Saccharomyces cerevisiae S288C: one gene and its partners. The protein of the gene in region 2 binds, or shares a complex with, the protein of the main gene of each other region. Each region holds a gene or a part of one and is shown on either strand. Other genes may lie near its edges.

What was found.
Region 1: MRPL4 (region 2) and MRPL3 share a complex: the UniProt entries of both Saccharomyces cerevisiae proteins name them as parts of the mitochondrial large ribosomal subunit.
Region 3: MRPL4 (region 2) and MRPL27 share a complex: the UniProt entries of both Saccharomyces cerevisiae proteins name them as parts of the mitochondrial large ribosomal subunit.
Region 4: MRPL4 (region 2) and IMG2 share a complex: the UniProt entries of both Saccharomyces cerevisiae proteins name them as parts of the mitochondrial large ribosomal subunit.

The regions. Positions count from the first base shown.
Region 1 is NC_001145.3:320,155-324,093, reverse strand, and holds MRPL3 (mitochondrial 54S ribosomal protein mL44 MRPL3), read right to left. Parts: upstream 2,220-3,939; coding exon 1,047-2,219; downstream 1-1,046. Other genes in the region: CSI1 (Csi1p), read right to left, coding at 1-794; MSS1 (Mss1p), read left to right, coding at 3,077-3,939. UniProt on the Saccharomyces cerevisiae protein: Component of the mitochondrial ribosome (mitoribosome), a dedicated translation machinery responsible for the synthesis of mitochondrial genome-encoded proteins, including at least some of the essential transmembrane subunits of the mitochondrial respiratory chain.
Region 2 is NC_001144.5:1,012,324-1,015,950, forward strand, and holds MRPL4 (mitochondrial 54S ribosomal protein uL29m MRPL4), read left to right. Parts: upstream 1-2,167; coding exon 2,168-3,127; downstream 3,128-3,627. Other genes in the region: CAR2 (ornithine-oxo-acid transaminase), read left to right, coding at 178-1,452; U4/U6-U5 snRNP complex subunit LSM3, read right to left, coding at 1,586-1,855; SEC39 (Sec39p), read right to left, coding at 3,245-3,627. UniProt on the Saccharomyces cerevisiae protein: Component of the mitochondrial ribosome (mitoribosome), a dedicated translation machinery responsible for the synthesis of mitochondrial genome-encoded proteins, including at least some of the essential transmembrane subunits of the mitochondrial respiratory chain.
Region 3 is NC_001134.8:766,701-769,180, reverse strand, and holds MRPL27 (mitochondrial 54S ribosomal protein mL41 MRPL27), read right to left. Parts: upstream 942-2,480; coding exon 501-941; downstream 1-500. Other genes in the region: SSH1 (Ssh1p), read left to right, coding at 1-238; glutamine amidotransferase subunit DUG2, read left to right, coding at 1,575-2,480. UniProt on the Saccharomyces cerevisiae protein: Component of the mitochondrial ribosome (mitoribosome), a dedicated translation machinery responsible for the synthesis of mitochondrial genome-encoded proteins, including at least some of the essential transmembrane subunits of the mitochondrial respiratory chain.
Region 4 is NC_001135.5:239,343-242,473, forward strand, and holds IMG2 (mitochondrial 54S ribosomal protein mL49 IMG2), read right to left. Parts: upstream 1,202-3,131; coding exon 761-1,201; downstream 1-760. Other genes in the region: peptidylprolyl isomerase family protein CPR4, read left to right, coding at 1-669; RSA4 (Rsa4p), read right to left, coding at 1,463-3,010. UniProt on the Saccharomyces cerevisiae protein: Component of the mitochondrial ribosome (mitoribosome), a dedicated translation machinery responsible for the synthesis of mitochondrial genome-encoded proteins, including at least some of the essential transmembrane subunits of the mitochondrial respiratory chain.

The DNA of each region.
Region 1 (3,939 bases), on a different chromosome or scaffold from region 2:
TCACTTGTTCCACCTCTTTGCAGTTGTGTTACAAGCATTGATATTTTTCGAAGTATTACATCTTGCGTGGAAGAGAAAGGCTTGTCAGTGGCATCATAATTTTTCAAGAATATTATCATTCGATTAATCTTCTCGAGTAATTTTCTTATGGTATTATTATTATATTTTTGAATATTGATTTCTTTATCCTTCATGTCAATTAATTGAAACTCATCAAAACCTGGGTCTACGGTATTATTAGGTGTGGGAATTTGGTATCTGTCATTTACATCCTTAATTTGCACTTTATCTTGTAGAAAATCAAGGATAATTTCCGCGCCTATCTGTACACTATTTTCAATTTTATAACCCTTTAAACTATTGACAGCTTCTTGGAAGGAGGTATGTTGGCGAAACACGTTATATTTTATCAGATATTTCAATGCCAAGGCGGTCAATTGGGTGAGCACTTTCTCCGTCACTTTATTAGTGATATTTTCGTCCTCTTCTAACTGACATAAATCAAGAATACCCAGTATACAAATGTCCTTTTGAGTCACTTTTGTTAGGTTAATTCTCCTTTCTAGGCGTTCTTGATTTATTTTATCATTTTCCTGCATCGGGATTCGTATAACTTTTTCAATATACCATTGAGACTCTGCTTCATTACCATTTATTGGGATGTAAATTTCATCATCTTGATCCAATTTGCAACCTATCAATAAAAACCAAGAGTGGTCTATCGAGTCAAACGATGACTCGTGCAGGAAGTTAATTTCTGATATAGCTAGAGAACTGAATTTTAGGAGGTCCATTTACCCTATATTACTTTGCTTTGTGTTATTATCCCCTCACAAATGTGCGTTCTCTTTAAATATAGCAAGTCTTTTTTTTTTTTGTCTGTTTCCTGGTAAGATATAGTAGTAAACAAGGAACATGCTTCTGTTCACTTTTATATATTTTAGTACACATAAAGTAAACGCATATCGTACCAACGTGTATATATATATGTACAAGAATGTATTCTGGTTAAGGAGTTCTCTATCTACAAAATGGCAAACACAGAACTAAACAACAACAGTGCCAGGATCAATAACTGGTTCCTGTTGAGCAAGAGGCTCGTAGCAATACCATTTCATCAAAGCATCAGTAGCGGCTCTTGCTTTTGCCTCCTTTAATGAGGAACCATAACCTTCACCTAATGTCTCTTCGCCTGAAAATACATGCACAATAAAGACAGGTGATTTCGATAGTCTACCAGACTCAGCGACCAGTTTCGATACAGGTTTCTCCAGCCCCTCTCTACGACATAGCATAGCCAATTCTCTTGTAGGTTGTTCAAACTGGAACATTTTCGTGATATCCAATTTCCTGCTCATTATATGATCATCAATAAATCTGTAAACAGCTTGAGAATCTTTTTGCTCCGTTACTGCCCAGATGGCAGCTATTATACTCCTCACGCTCATTGCAAGAGCGCTTGTTTCTGAAAAGTTCTTTCCGGTGATTAGCTCAATACCGTCCTTAGAGTTCAATGAATTATTAAAGAATTTGAGTCTTCCCAAAGTGAATTCGAATGGTTCCATTTTCAAATAGCGTGATAAAACAGACGTAGTTTCTACTTCAATACCCCAGTATTTAGCAATGTGCGCCAGTACCGCCTCTGATATATATGCGTTAACCGCAGCATTCAAAACCACAGTGGGTAGTCTCGGATATTTCTGTATAATGGATTTTGTAACGTGGTAAGAGAGCAAGTTCTTTCCCATGATGTTTAAACCGTGGTTGTCCAAGTATTTATTAGTAGGTACAGTATTAACGAAAGCTGCACCTTTTGTAGGATTATTTATCTTGTCGGGTAGTTTTGCAGAGGGACACGTTAAGCATCTGGAAAGTGTTGAATAGGTCAACTCATTAGGTAATTGTAATCTCTTATGAAGCGTTCTTAACGAAGGTGACTTAGAGGCCACTGATTCAGGTATTTCATTTACAGTGCTCTTCAAACCCTGGTAGTATTCCTTATATTTAGCAAGTTCAGATTCGGGTAGGAAGCGCTTTTCTTGTTGTGTTAATGTTGAAAGGTGTAGGTATCGTTTTGAAGTAAATCTCGAGGATTGCTGCAGAAAGCATGTGCTAGACAAATGCTGTGAGAAAGGTCTTATGGTTCGGCTCCAATGCCACGTACTGTTTGGAAAAGGTTTCATACCTGCTGCTATTGCTCTTTTCAAAACTATGCCCATTCTGTATATATAACTACAGCTTTCTTTTCACCAATTCTTTTCAGATTATTTTAGTATTGCTCTTTTTCAGAGGCGGGAAACTTCACTCTTTACCCGGCTGCATATTGTAAGGACCTTTTCTATAATCACGCATTAAAGCGACTGTAATTTATATCTAATAGGATAATAATTTGCCATTAATTATTCATCTTGTTGCGTCTACAATCATTCTATTCCGTATTCTTTATGTCAAGGCATAAGAGACCTTGGTGTTTACTTTTCATCTTTCCGTAACGTTTTCTATAAACAGTAAAATTGATGAATCTTTGGAACTCCACCTTTCTTAAAGGTAATAATATGCCATCCATATCGGAACGAATGGGGATTAATAATAAATGAGTTGCTATAGTAGCAATCTAAGTGCTGACATCGTATACGTCTGAATGTGAATGTGCCGATTCCAGAAAAAAATATTCTACTTGCAGTTCAGAAAGTACTGAGGCGGCGTTAAAGATCTATTAGATTGATAATCTTCTGATAGTTGTATATATATATATATATATATATGAGTAACACGGGTTGCCACATGTCTTCAAATTGGTTTCATTAATAAAAGTTTAAAAATGTATCCTACATTTATGTTTTCTATACTTCTTCAAAGTCTTCAATACAAATCGGGCGTGTGGCGTAGTCGGTAGCGCGCTCCCTTAGCATGGGAGAGGTCTCCGGTTCGATTCCGGACTCGTCCATTTTTTATTTTTTTGGCTAACTAACCCATATATAACGTCTTTTACGAGGTTACATGAAGATACAGCAATATTCCATACGACTGCTATCTACTTAGAGAATGTTATATATGGTTAATAAGTATTCTATTTATGAATAGTGCATCTTTCTTACAATCACGGCTTATTTCGAGATCCTTTCTCGTAAGAAGGTCGTTAAAGAGGTACTCCGGACTTGCAAAGCCTTATACCTTCCAGCAACCAACCATATATGCATTATCTACACCAGCAAATCAAACCTCTGCGATAGCAATCATAAGAATATCTGGTACCCATGCTAAGTACATTTACAATCGACTAGTTGATTCAAGTACAGTTCCGCCGATCAGGAAGGCTATTTTGAGGAACATTTATTCGCCGTCCTCTTGTAGTGTGAAACCTCATGATCAAAAGGAAAGTAAAATATTATTAGACACATCGTTGTTGCTATATTTCCAAGCTCCTTATTCATTTACTGGTGAGGATGTGTTAGAGCTGCACGTTCACGGCGGGAAAGCCGTAGTTAATAGTATACTGAAAGCTATCGGCTCGTTACACGATAGAAGCAGTGGTAAAGATATAAGATTTGCCTTGCCTGGCGACTTCTCCAGGAGGGCGTTTCAAAATGGAAAGTTTGACCTTACCCAACTTGAAGGTATCAAAGATCTTATTGATTCGGAAACAGAATCTCAAAGGAGATCTGCCTTGTCAAGTTTCAATGGGGATAACAAAATCCTATTTGAGAACTGGAGGGAAACCATTATCGAGAATATGGCACAGTTGACTGCTATAATAGATTTTGCCGACGATAATAGCCAAGAAATTCAGAATACGGATGAGATTTTCCATAATGTAGAAAAGAACATCATATGTCTGCGAGACCAAATCGTTACTTTCATGCAAAAAGTCGAAAAGTCTACCATACTGCAAAATGGAATAAAGCTGGTATTACTTGGTGCTCCCAATGTCGGTAAGTC
Region 2 (3,627 bases):
CGCTAGCCGACGCCGTAGTCGCGTGCCCTTGCCCTTAGCGGCTGACTGGCTGACTCGATTGCATATATAAATTGCGGCCACCATACGTTGAGTCTTGTTGTTATATGGCGGTTGTTCGTATTACAGCAAAGGATACTACACCACAAGACACCACAGCAGCACAGAACCACAACACCAATGTCCGAAGCTACCCTCTCCTCCAAGCAAACCATTGAATGGGAAAACAAATACTCCGCCCACAACTACCACCCCTTGCCCGTCGTTTTTCACAAGGCTAAGGGCGCACATGTGTGGGACCCGGAGGGTAAGCTGTACCTCGACTTCCTGAGCGCTTATTCTGCCGTCAACCAGGGCCATTGCCATCCTCACATCATCAAGGCTTTGACGGAGCAAGCACAAACACTAACATTGTCCTCCAGAGCGTTCCACAACGATGTTTACGCGCAATTCGCCAAGTTCGTGACCGAATTCTTCGGGTTCGAAACCGTTTTGCCCATGAACACCGGTGCAGAAGCCGTGGAAACTGCTTTGAAGTTGGCCAGAAGATGGGGGTACATGAAGAAGAACATCCCTCAAGATAAAGCCATCATTCTGGGTGCCGAGGGTAACTTCCACGGGAGAACCTTCGGTGCTATCAGTTTGAGTACCGACTACGAGGACTCCAAGTTGCATTTCGGGCCTTTCGTGCCTAACGTTGCCAGTGGTCACTCCGTGCACAAGATCAGATACGGCCACGCAGAAGATTTCGTCCCTATCTTGGAATCTCCTGAAGGTAAGAACGTTGCCGCCATCATTCTAGAGCCAATTCAGGGTGAAGCCGGTATCGTCGTGCCCCCCGCAGACTACTTCCCAAAGGTCTCCGCATTATGCCGTAAGCACAACGTCCTATTGATCGTTGACGAAATTCAAACCGGTATCGGTAGAACCGGTGAGTTGCTTTGCTACGACCACTACAAGGCAGAGGCCAAGCCTGATATTGTTTTGTTAGGTAAGGCTCTCTCAGGTGGTGTTCTTCCCGTCTCATGTGTTCTGTCTTCTCACGACATCATGTCTTGCTTTACCCCAGGATCTCACGGTTCTACTTTCGGCGGTAATCCTTTGGCTTCCCGCGTTGCCATCGCCGCCCTCGAGGTCATCCGCGACGAGAAGCTGTGCCAAAGAGCCGCCCAACTGGGTAGCTCTTTCATCGCCCAATTGAAAGCTCTCCAAGCCAAATCTAACGGTATAATCTCTGAGGTGCGTGGTATGGGACTGCTTACCGCCATCGTAATCGACCCATCCAAGGCCAATGGTAAGACCGCTTGGGACTTGTGTCTATTGATGAAGGATCACGGCCTCTTGGCTAAGCCCACCCACGACCACATCATCAGATTGGCTCCTCCTTTGGTCATCTCCGAAGAGGACTTGCAAACCGGTGTCGAAACCATTGCCAAGTGTATCGATCTGTTATAATATTAATACGCATTTTTTTTATGTTTTCTCGTTTCTTTTCTTTTTTTTGTTTTATATCTTACACATTTTTAATATACTAAAAGTAAAATAAAAAAATACGTACTGTTTCCCTTTGTTTTCTCCTCCTCTTTGCTTATATCTCCACTGCGCCATCGTCATCTTCAGAGGGCGTGCTGATTAGAGTCACTGTGTCTCCTCTGATGAACACCATTTCACATCGTCTTTCGGACTCACTCAACTCCTCGTTGTTTAATTGGTATATGGTCTCTACTGCATCACTCAGCACGATGTTGCAGTGTGAGTCGAACGCTTGCAGTGTGCCCACCAGCGTCCTGGCCCCGCGCAGCTTGATGTACACCCTCTCATCGAGATTGAGTTTCAATAAATCCAAAGGTGTCTCCATTTTCTTGAGTGTGCGTGATGTTGTGTGTGTGTGTGTATTTATCTGCGTGTCTCTCCCCTGTTGTATTGGTTGCTAGAATGGATGGAAACATCCTGCCTCTTGTTTGTTCAAACCTCAGCTTTCTTGCTTTTTTTCTTCTTTCAATATCGCGACCTATCACACAGCACGGATAGCCAAAAGGGCGCATCAGGAAGAAGAAAAAATATCATTTCAGCAAACTAAAAGAATTGCCCTGAAAGCTATCGAGCCCTGGTAAGAGAGTACCATTCTATCTCTGCGGCTAGAAAAAAATACCATAAAAATATAATAAAAATGTGGAAGAGATCGTTCCACTCCCAAGGAGGGCCCCTGCGTGCCAGAACAAAGTTTACCAAACCAAAGCCAAAACAACCGGTGCTTCCCAAAGACAAAATAAGACCGCCCACTCAATTGACTCATCACTCCAACAACCTGAGGATTACCGAACCAATCCCACCAACAACCTCAAACCTGCGCTGTCCCGACGACCACCCGCTGTGGCAGTTCTTCTCCAACAAGAAATTCATCAGGTCCGCCGACGACTTGCCGCCTTCCAGCCATATCAGACCCTGGAGCATCCCAGAGTTGAGGCACAAGTCCTTTAACGACTTGCATTCCCTTTGGTACAACTGCCTCAGGGAGCAAAATGTGCTTGCTCGCGAAAACCATCTCTTGAAAAACATTGTTGGCTCCACGCATGACGAATTCAGTGAGCTCTCTAACTCTATCAGAACCACCATGTGGCAAATAAGACATGTACTTAACGAAAGAGAGCTGGCCTATAGCGCTTCACGCGAATTTTTACAGGATGAATCGGAGAGGAAAAAGTTCTTGGATACTTTGGCCAACGATTACTTCTTGAACAAGGATATCCCTGATGACGAAGTCGCCTCCATGCTCACACGATTCCAGTTGGCCATTTTCGGCATATCGGAAACCATCCAGGATAATACAGTCGACATTAACTTCATCGACGGGATCAAGTTCTTGGCAAACTTAAAACTACAGCGGTTCAAGGACTCCAATGACCTCATATCCGAAATATCACAAGAACCGATCACAGACGTGGGCGAGTCGTTCATCTTATTCACTTCCGACTTCGAACCTCATGCCGTTCAAGAGGCTTGTGTCGCCATCAAAGACCTGAGAAAGTCCCCAGATAATAAAGTCCCTAAATTAGACGAACTCCCCACCGTGAGAAAATACTTGAAACAGCTAATTCATGCAAGCTCCGTGGAGCAAGCAACTGCATGATTCCCGTGGGCTTCCTACCCTCTCTCCTGTAAATATATATATATATATATATCCACACACACTCGCACATACATACACACATACATACACCTTTATATAGCTATACGCTGTATGTATTCAGAAATTAGTCACGTTGTGGAAAATCTCCCTAGCAATGCCGCCTACCTTACTCTTATTGTCGTTCTGTCCGTCCAGTGCGTACTTGTCTTTCACCAGGTCACGGGCGCTTAGCTCCAATTCTAGTGTGCTCCATTGCGATGTAACAATTTCGACTTCCTCAAGGGGGCAAACCTCCAGTAAGCGGCCCAAGATGCTCATCTGCAGAACAATTATCTCTGTGGGAATTTCATTATCCACCCAATTTGGATCGACAAACTTCCCCATTTGATAAAATGTTAACCAATGCTCATCGCCCAACGCCTTCATCATATGTTGGCCCGCTTCTTGACAAATTTCAAACACTTGCTTGCCCAATTCGTATGCTGTGCCAAAATCTAAAT
Region 3 (2,480 bases), on a different chromosome or scaffold from region 2:
ACAGAATGTCGCTAAAGAATTGAACAAAGTCATTCCAATCGCAGCTGTTACGGGTGCATCCGTCTTAAGTTTGATCACCGTTATCGGTGAATCTTTGGGTTTGAAAGGTAAAGCTGCTGGTATAGTTGTTGGCATTGCTGGTGGGTTTTCTTTGCTAGAAGTCATTACCATTGAATACCAACAAAGTGGCGGTCAAAGTGCTTTGAATCAAGTCTTGGGTGTTCCAGGTGCTATGTAAACAAAGAAAAGAAAAAAAAGAAGGAAAACAAAAAAGAAGATCAAATTCTCTCTGCTACGCGCATTTATATACGTACGAACTTTTTGCTCTTCTTTTAGATTTATATGTATCTATATTTAACTCAAAGAAAGATGACATATGGTGCAATGTCTAAGCCATGTTTTATTTGATTTTGTTTTACAATCTTAAGTTTTATTTTTTATCTACCTATAAAGTCGAAAACTAGTATTTACACGCATATTGAAGAAAGATTATAAATAACTTATCCACGCTCCTTATAACATGAAGTGTCGGTGGCCCCTTCGCTTTGTACCCTCCCGTTTACTATGTATTCTTTTATCTTTAATAACTGTAAACGAGGATCTAATGGGCCGCCGCTAAATCCTTTAAATTCGTGTTTTAGAGGTGGTACATTTGCGTTAACGTAGGGCTTTAATTCGAAATTAACCATATCTGGGGTAACATAGGTTCTGACTTTCTTCCAGTTTATCACATAACCACCGAATTTTGTATGTCTACCAATCCCTGAAGCTCTTGTCCCTTTGTACATCGTCTTGTTACCTTGCTTCGTGGTCAACGGCACTCTTTTATTCCCAACTTTTGATAACCCATAAAATAATTCACCATCTCTGTATTTCTTCCAAGGCCTGGTAAGAGCATTAATAGAGGTCTTACTAAATTGAGAAATGGGTGAGCCTTTCATTTTAGTTATTTGCTGTCCTCACTTTCAAGGTAATCTTTGATTCCCGTAGTTTTTTTAAGCAAAAATTGGTGTATACTACTTCAATAGTCCTATCTTTTGTATTAATTCTAGCTTTTCAAAAATAATCCGTGAAACGTGATAATAATAATTATGTATCTCAAGAAAATCATCATCAAATAGCCGCCAACAAGCTGCAGTGAAGCAACATTGAAAGTCCTTCCCGCAAGTATTAGGCTCTGTTTAAAGATTACTAACCTTGTTAATAATTATAATAACACTTCACAGCTATTTTCGTATTCCTTTTCATAGTTAAGGGCATTTCACTTTGATCTAGAATGATCCTCTGATTTCGATGTTTTGTTATATGGTAAGGAAGCTCTTGAGCATTGCTCACAATTACTGCTGCAATTAGAAGTTCAATGAAGATGGTATCTTTTTTTTTTTTTCTCATGAGAGGGAATACCGACTTTACCATAAACTTGAGTGATAATCGCATTGTGCGCCGCGAAAAGCTGTGGCACCAATATCAATAAAATGTGTGTAACTGAATTATTTAAGTGAAAAACTATTTCGAGAAACCGAACAACCCTGTAAGGAAAAGTGAAAAACGAGGGCAGAAGTAATTGTGAAATCATGTACGATAGCAGGGGTGTCGCATTGCACTCTGAACTAATTCATAGGTGGAATCACGCTTTTTCCATCTTATCCATTGTTGCATTTCCAAAAAAAAGATTGTTGTTTGCTGGTAGCCAAGACTCCAAGATATTGGTTTTTGATCTTCCCACATATAATCTAATACATACGATTAGACTAGGCGAATCACAAGAGGAAACGCATACCAGATCTTCGGTTTTGTGCTTGACAGGATCAGAAGATGAAAACTTTTTATTTTCAGGCGGCGCAGATTCTTTGGTGAGAATTTGGTCCATTGGCGAAAAGACCATTAGAGATGACTTTCTACCTGTTACTGAAATAGCCACTGTTTACTCAGTGACCGATATTGGTGATATTTTCTCATTGGCATATTTGGATTCGTTGGAAACTATTGTCTTTGGCTGTCAAAATGCAAGCTTACTATATGTTGAGAACTTGATTCAGAAGATTGAAAAAAAATCCTCTGATGGAGTAGAAAATATCAATAAATTACCGCATAGAAGATATGATAAGTTCTTTGATTCGTTAGGTCCGACTGGATATAGTTCAAATTCATTATCTCAAACTTCATTGACCTCTCTACAAGAAAACTGTGGCGCTGCCATCATAGAGGTTCCCTCCGAAAACATTATTAAATATGCACATTATGGGTTTATTTATTCTATTAATAAATTGTGTCCCAGGTTTAATCAGTTATTGGAAAAAAGCTCACGAACTTCTGGTGCAGAGCACATAATTTCATCCGCTGGTGATGGAATAAGCAAGCTTTGGGAGTTCTCTAAAGATAAAGGGCAAAACACTGTTAAAATCTCCTTGATAAACGATAAAATCGACAATGAAGATAGCGTCATATCCCAAACTATTGAGTTCCCATTTTTATATTGC
Region 4 (3,131 bases), on a different chromosome or scaffold from region 2:
GGGAAAGATCCCAATGATATACATACTTACTCGTACCGTAAGACCAAAATCAACAAGGTTTACCCTAACAAGTATATCCAGGGTGGTGTGGTTGCCCCAGATGTGGGTCCTTTCACCGTCTATGGGCCCAAATTTGATGACGAAAACTTTTACTTAAAACATGACAGGCCTGAAAGACTCGCAATGGCCTATTTTGGACCTGATTCTAACACCTCGGAATTCATCATCACCACTAAAGCCGATGGAAATGAGGAATTGGATGGCAAAAGTGTCGTGTTTGGTCAAATAACTTCTGGTCTAGATCAACTAATGGATGCTATTCAATACACAGAAACAGACGAATATGGAAAGCCTCAGCATGAATTACGGTTCCTGTATTTCGTTCTAGAAATCTTAAAAATTAGTAACATCTTAGATTTGCACGCTGCGTACACAGAAAAAGTCGAGAAGTTTAGAAATGGCGATGTGTCTGTTGGCTCCACTTTGGAAAACATCTTCCGTAACGATAAAGCCTACACACCTTTAACCACCTCCACTGGAACCACCGCCTATGATTTAAACCACCCAATTTCCAGAGCCTTGATGTGTTTAACTGTTCTTGGCCTTTGTTTCATTGCCTACAAGGGCATGCACGAAAAGCCTCATACGGTTTCATTAAGACACAAGTAAGCAACTTCTTTTCGATGGCTTGATGACCACATGGCTATGATTTTAATTAATATATATACATGACAATTATTTTTTTATACATTAGCGATACCTAAAATTTCTTGGTTAATACCCTTTTGACAGCCTCTACTGCATTGCCCTTGATAATAATTTTTTTCGATTGCATCACCACAGACCATGATTTTTTGGGTATGAAAGGCAGTTGCTCCTGCAAGTCATTTCTTAGTTGAATTACATCTCCTTCAATCTTTCTGATCTCCGTGATAATCTTGTTACCTCCATTTTTATAAGCGGAATACACCGGTAGATTTCCGGTCCTGCTTCTCTCCACGTAGTAGGTCTTTTTACCAAAATTGTTGTTTCCTATGAGCTCATGCATCTTCACGTCTTCCAGCTTTGGAAATATTGGCGCCTCAGCAGCTTTATTTGAATTAGTGGATATACATCTTATCGTTTGGTATATCGAGGCAGTGGCAGGCCCTGGAAGGCATTTACCCCTACCAAAACATCTAGTAACACACGAACTGATCATAGTTTTGCTCACACGCTACCTTGGAGTAAGTTGCTTTAGGTAAACGGGCACTTCTTTCAAAAGGTTTTCCTTCTTGCTGGAGCTATACTGCTTATAGTACCATATTTTAAATTCATACCAAGCCATTCGTACGCGATGACCATTATAGATCGACCTTGCGACACCATCATATTTAATATTCAAAAAGAAAAAAATGCAGTTCTATATCACAGTTATATAATATTTATATGTGCATGTATGTTACTTGTCTTTGCACATAACTCAATGCGTCCACAATCTTACCATCTTGTCTTTCCCACCACTACACACTCTTTTACCGTCGACACTCCAGTCGACGGTATAAACTTCGTCTTTATGACCAGGGAGGTCAACAGAAAGTTTTCTAGTTCTTACATCCCACACTTTCAACGTGGTATCTTTGGAACATGACACCAGTAGTCGGCAGTCCGATGACCACGCAACCTGGTATACGCTGGCTACATGCCCTCTAAATGTGGAGATAAACTTACCATCTCTACCGTCCCAAAGTTTGATAGAGTTATCAAAAGACGCTGAGACAATATACCTACCATCAGGGCTGAACGCCACATGATTGACTAATTTTTGGTGACCGGTCATTCTTGCTATAGGCTTGGTAGATTTTAGTGGGTTCCATAAAAACATGGTATAATCATCGCTTGCAGTAACCATCATTTCTTCTGAATTTCCATTCTTTTTACAGATTTTTTCATAATTTTCCAATGCCTTTTTCTGGGCTTCTTCTGGTGTAGAAGGCTTCTTACCTGTATGATCGAATGCACCAATGCGCAATGCGTAATCTGTAGATAAAGATAAGTGATTAACCCAGTGCGCATGCGACTTCAAAATGTTGATACATCTGCCCTGCGAATTGATGTCCCATACACGTACGGTTCTATCGTGAGAGCCACTATACAATAGACCTTGGCCGCCCCATTTGACACAAGACACTGAATTTGTGTGACCACTCATCGTATACTGGCAAACTCTGCTCACAGTGTCCCAAATCTTAATAGTACCATCCTTAGAAGATGAAGCTAATCTTGGTTTGGAGCCCGGCTTCACAAGATGTATAGGTTCCCAACTTAAAGAAGTGATCCACTTGGAATGACCTCTGAGAGCATCACCTAGACACTGACCGCTTTTTGGGTCCCATAATCTTATGGTATTGTCCATGGATCCCGTAGCAATTACTTCTCCATCGGGGGACCAGGAAACGCAGAGAACCCAATTGTAGTGACCCTTTAGAGTATGCATTGGCGTTTGGGTGTCACAGTCCCAAATCCTTGCAGTATTATCACCTGCACCGGTTACCATCCTAGAACTCGTATGTGGTGCGAAGGCAGAACACAAAATTGTGGAACCGTGACCTGCAATGGCTGATGAACTTCTAGTTACCGGCTTGACTTTGAAAACTGCTCTTGGCGTATACAGTAGCGTGATCTGATCTTCTGTACTGTTATAGCCTGGTTTTATTAATGAAGAATATAGGTTATCTGTTATATCAATCGTCTTCACAGGGTCACTGGCCTTCTTACCTTGAATTGTACAGCTGAAGGTATATGGCACTGGATCGTCTGAAGTACCGTTCAATTGATTTAAAAGTTCTTCTAACTGTTTCTCGGAGATAGCACCGGGAACTCTCAGGGCGCCACCTACATTGTCACCAGTATCTAAAGCTTGGAACTTGATTGAAACATTGGGTAAATCTTTCGGAATAATAGCTACTTCTCTGGGAAGTTGAGCCTCTTTCTTTTGTTTCTTAGAAGGTGGAGGAATCAGGGTGGACATCTGTATATTGTGTTAGTGTGTGTTTATCGAGGTTACAAATATAAAAATCTTGTGATATATGTCTTTTAAAGATACTCTTTTTGAAGCTCATCGCATTTTTTTTTTTTTTTTCATTTTAAAA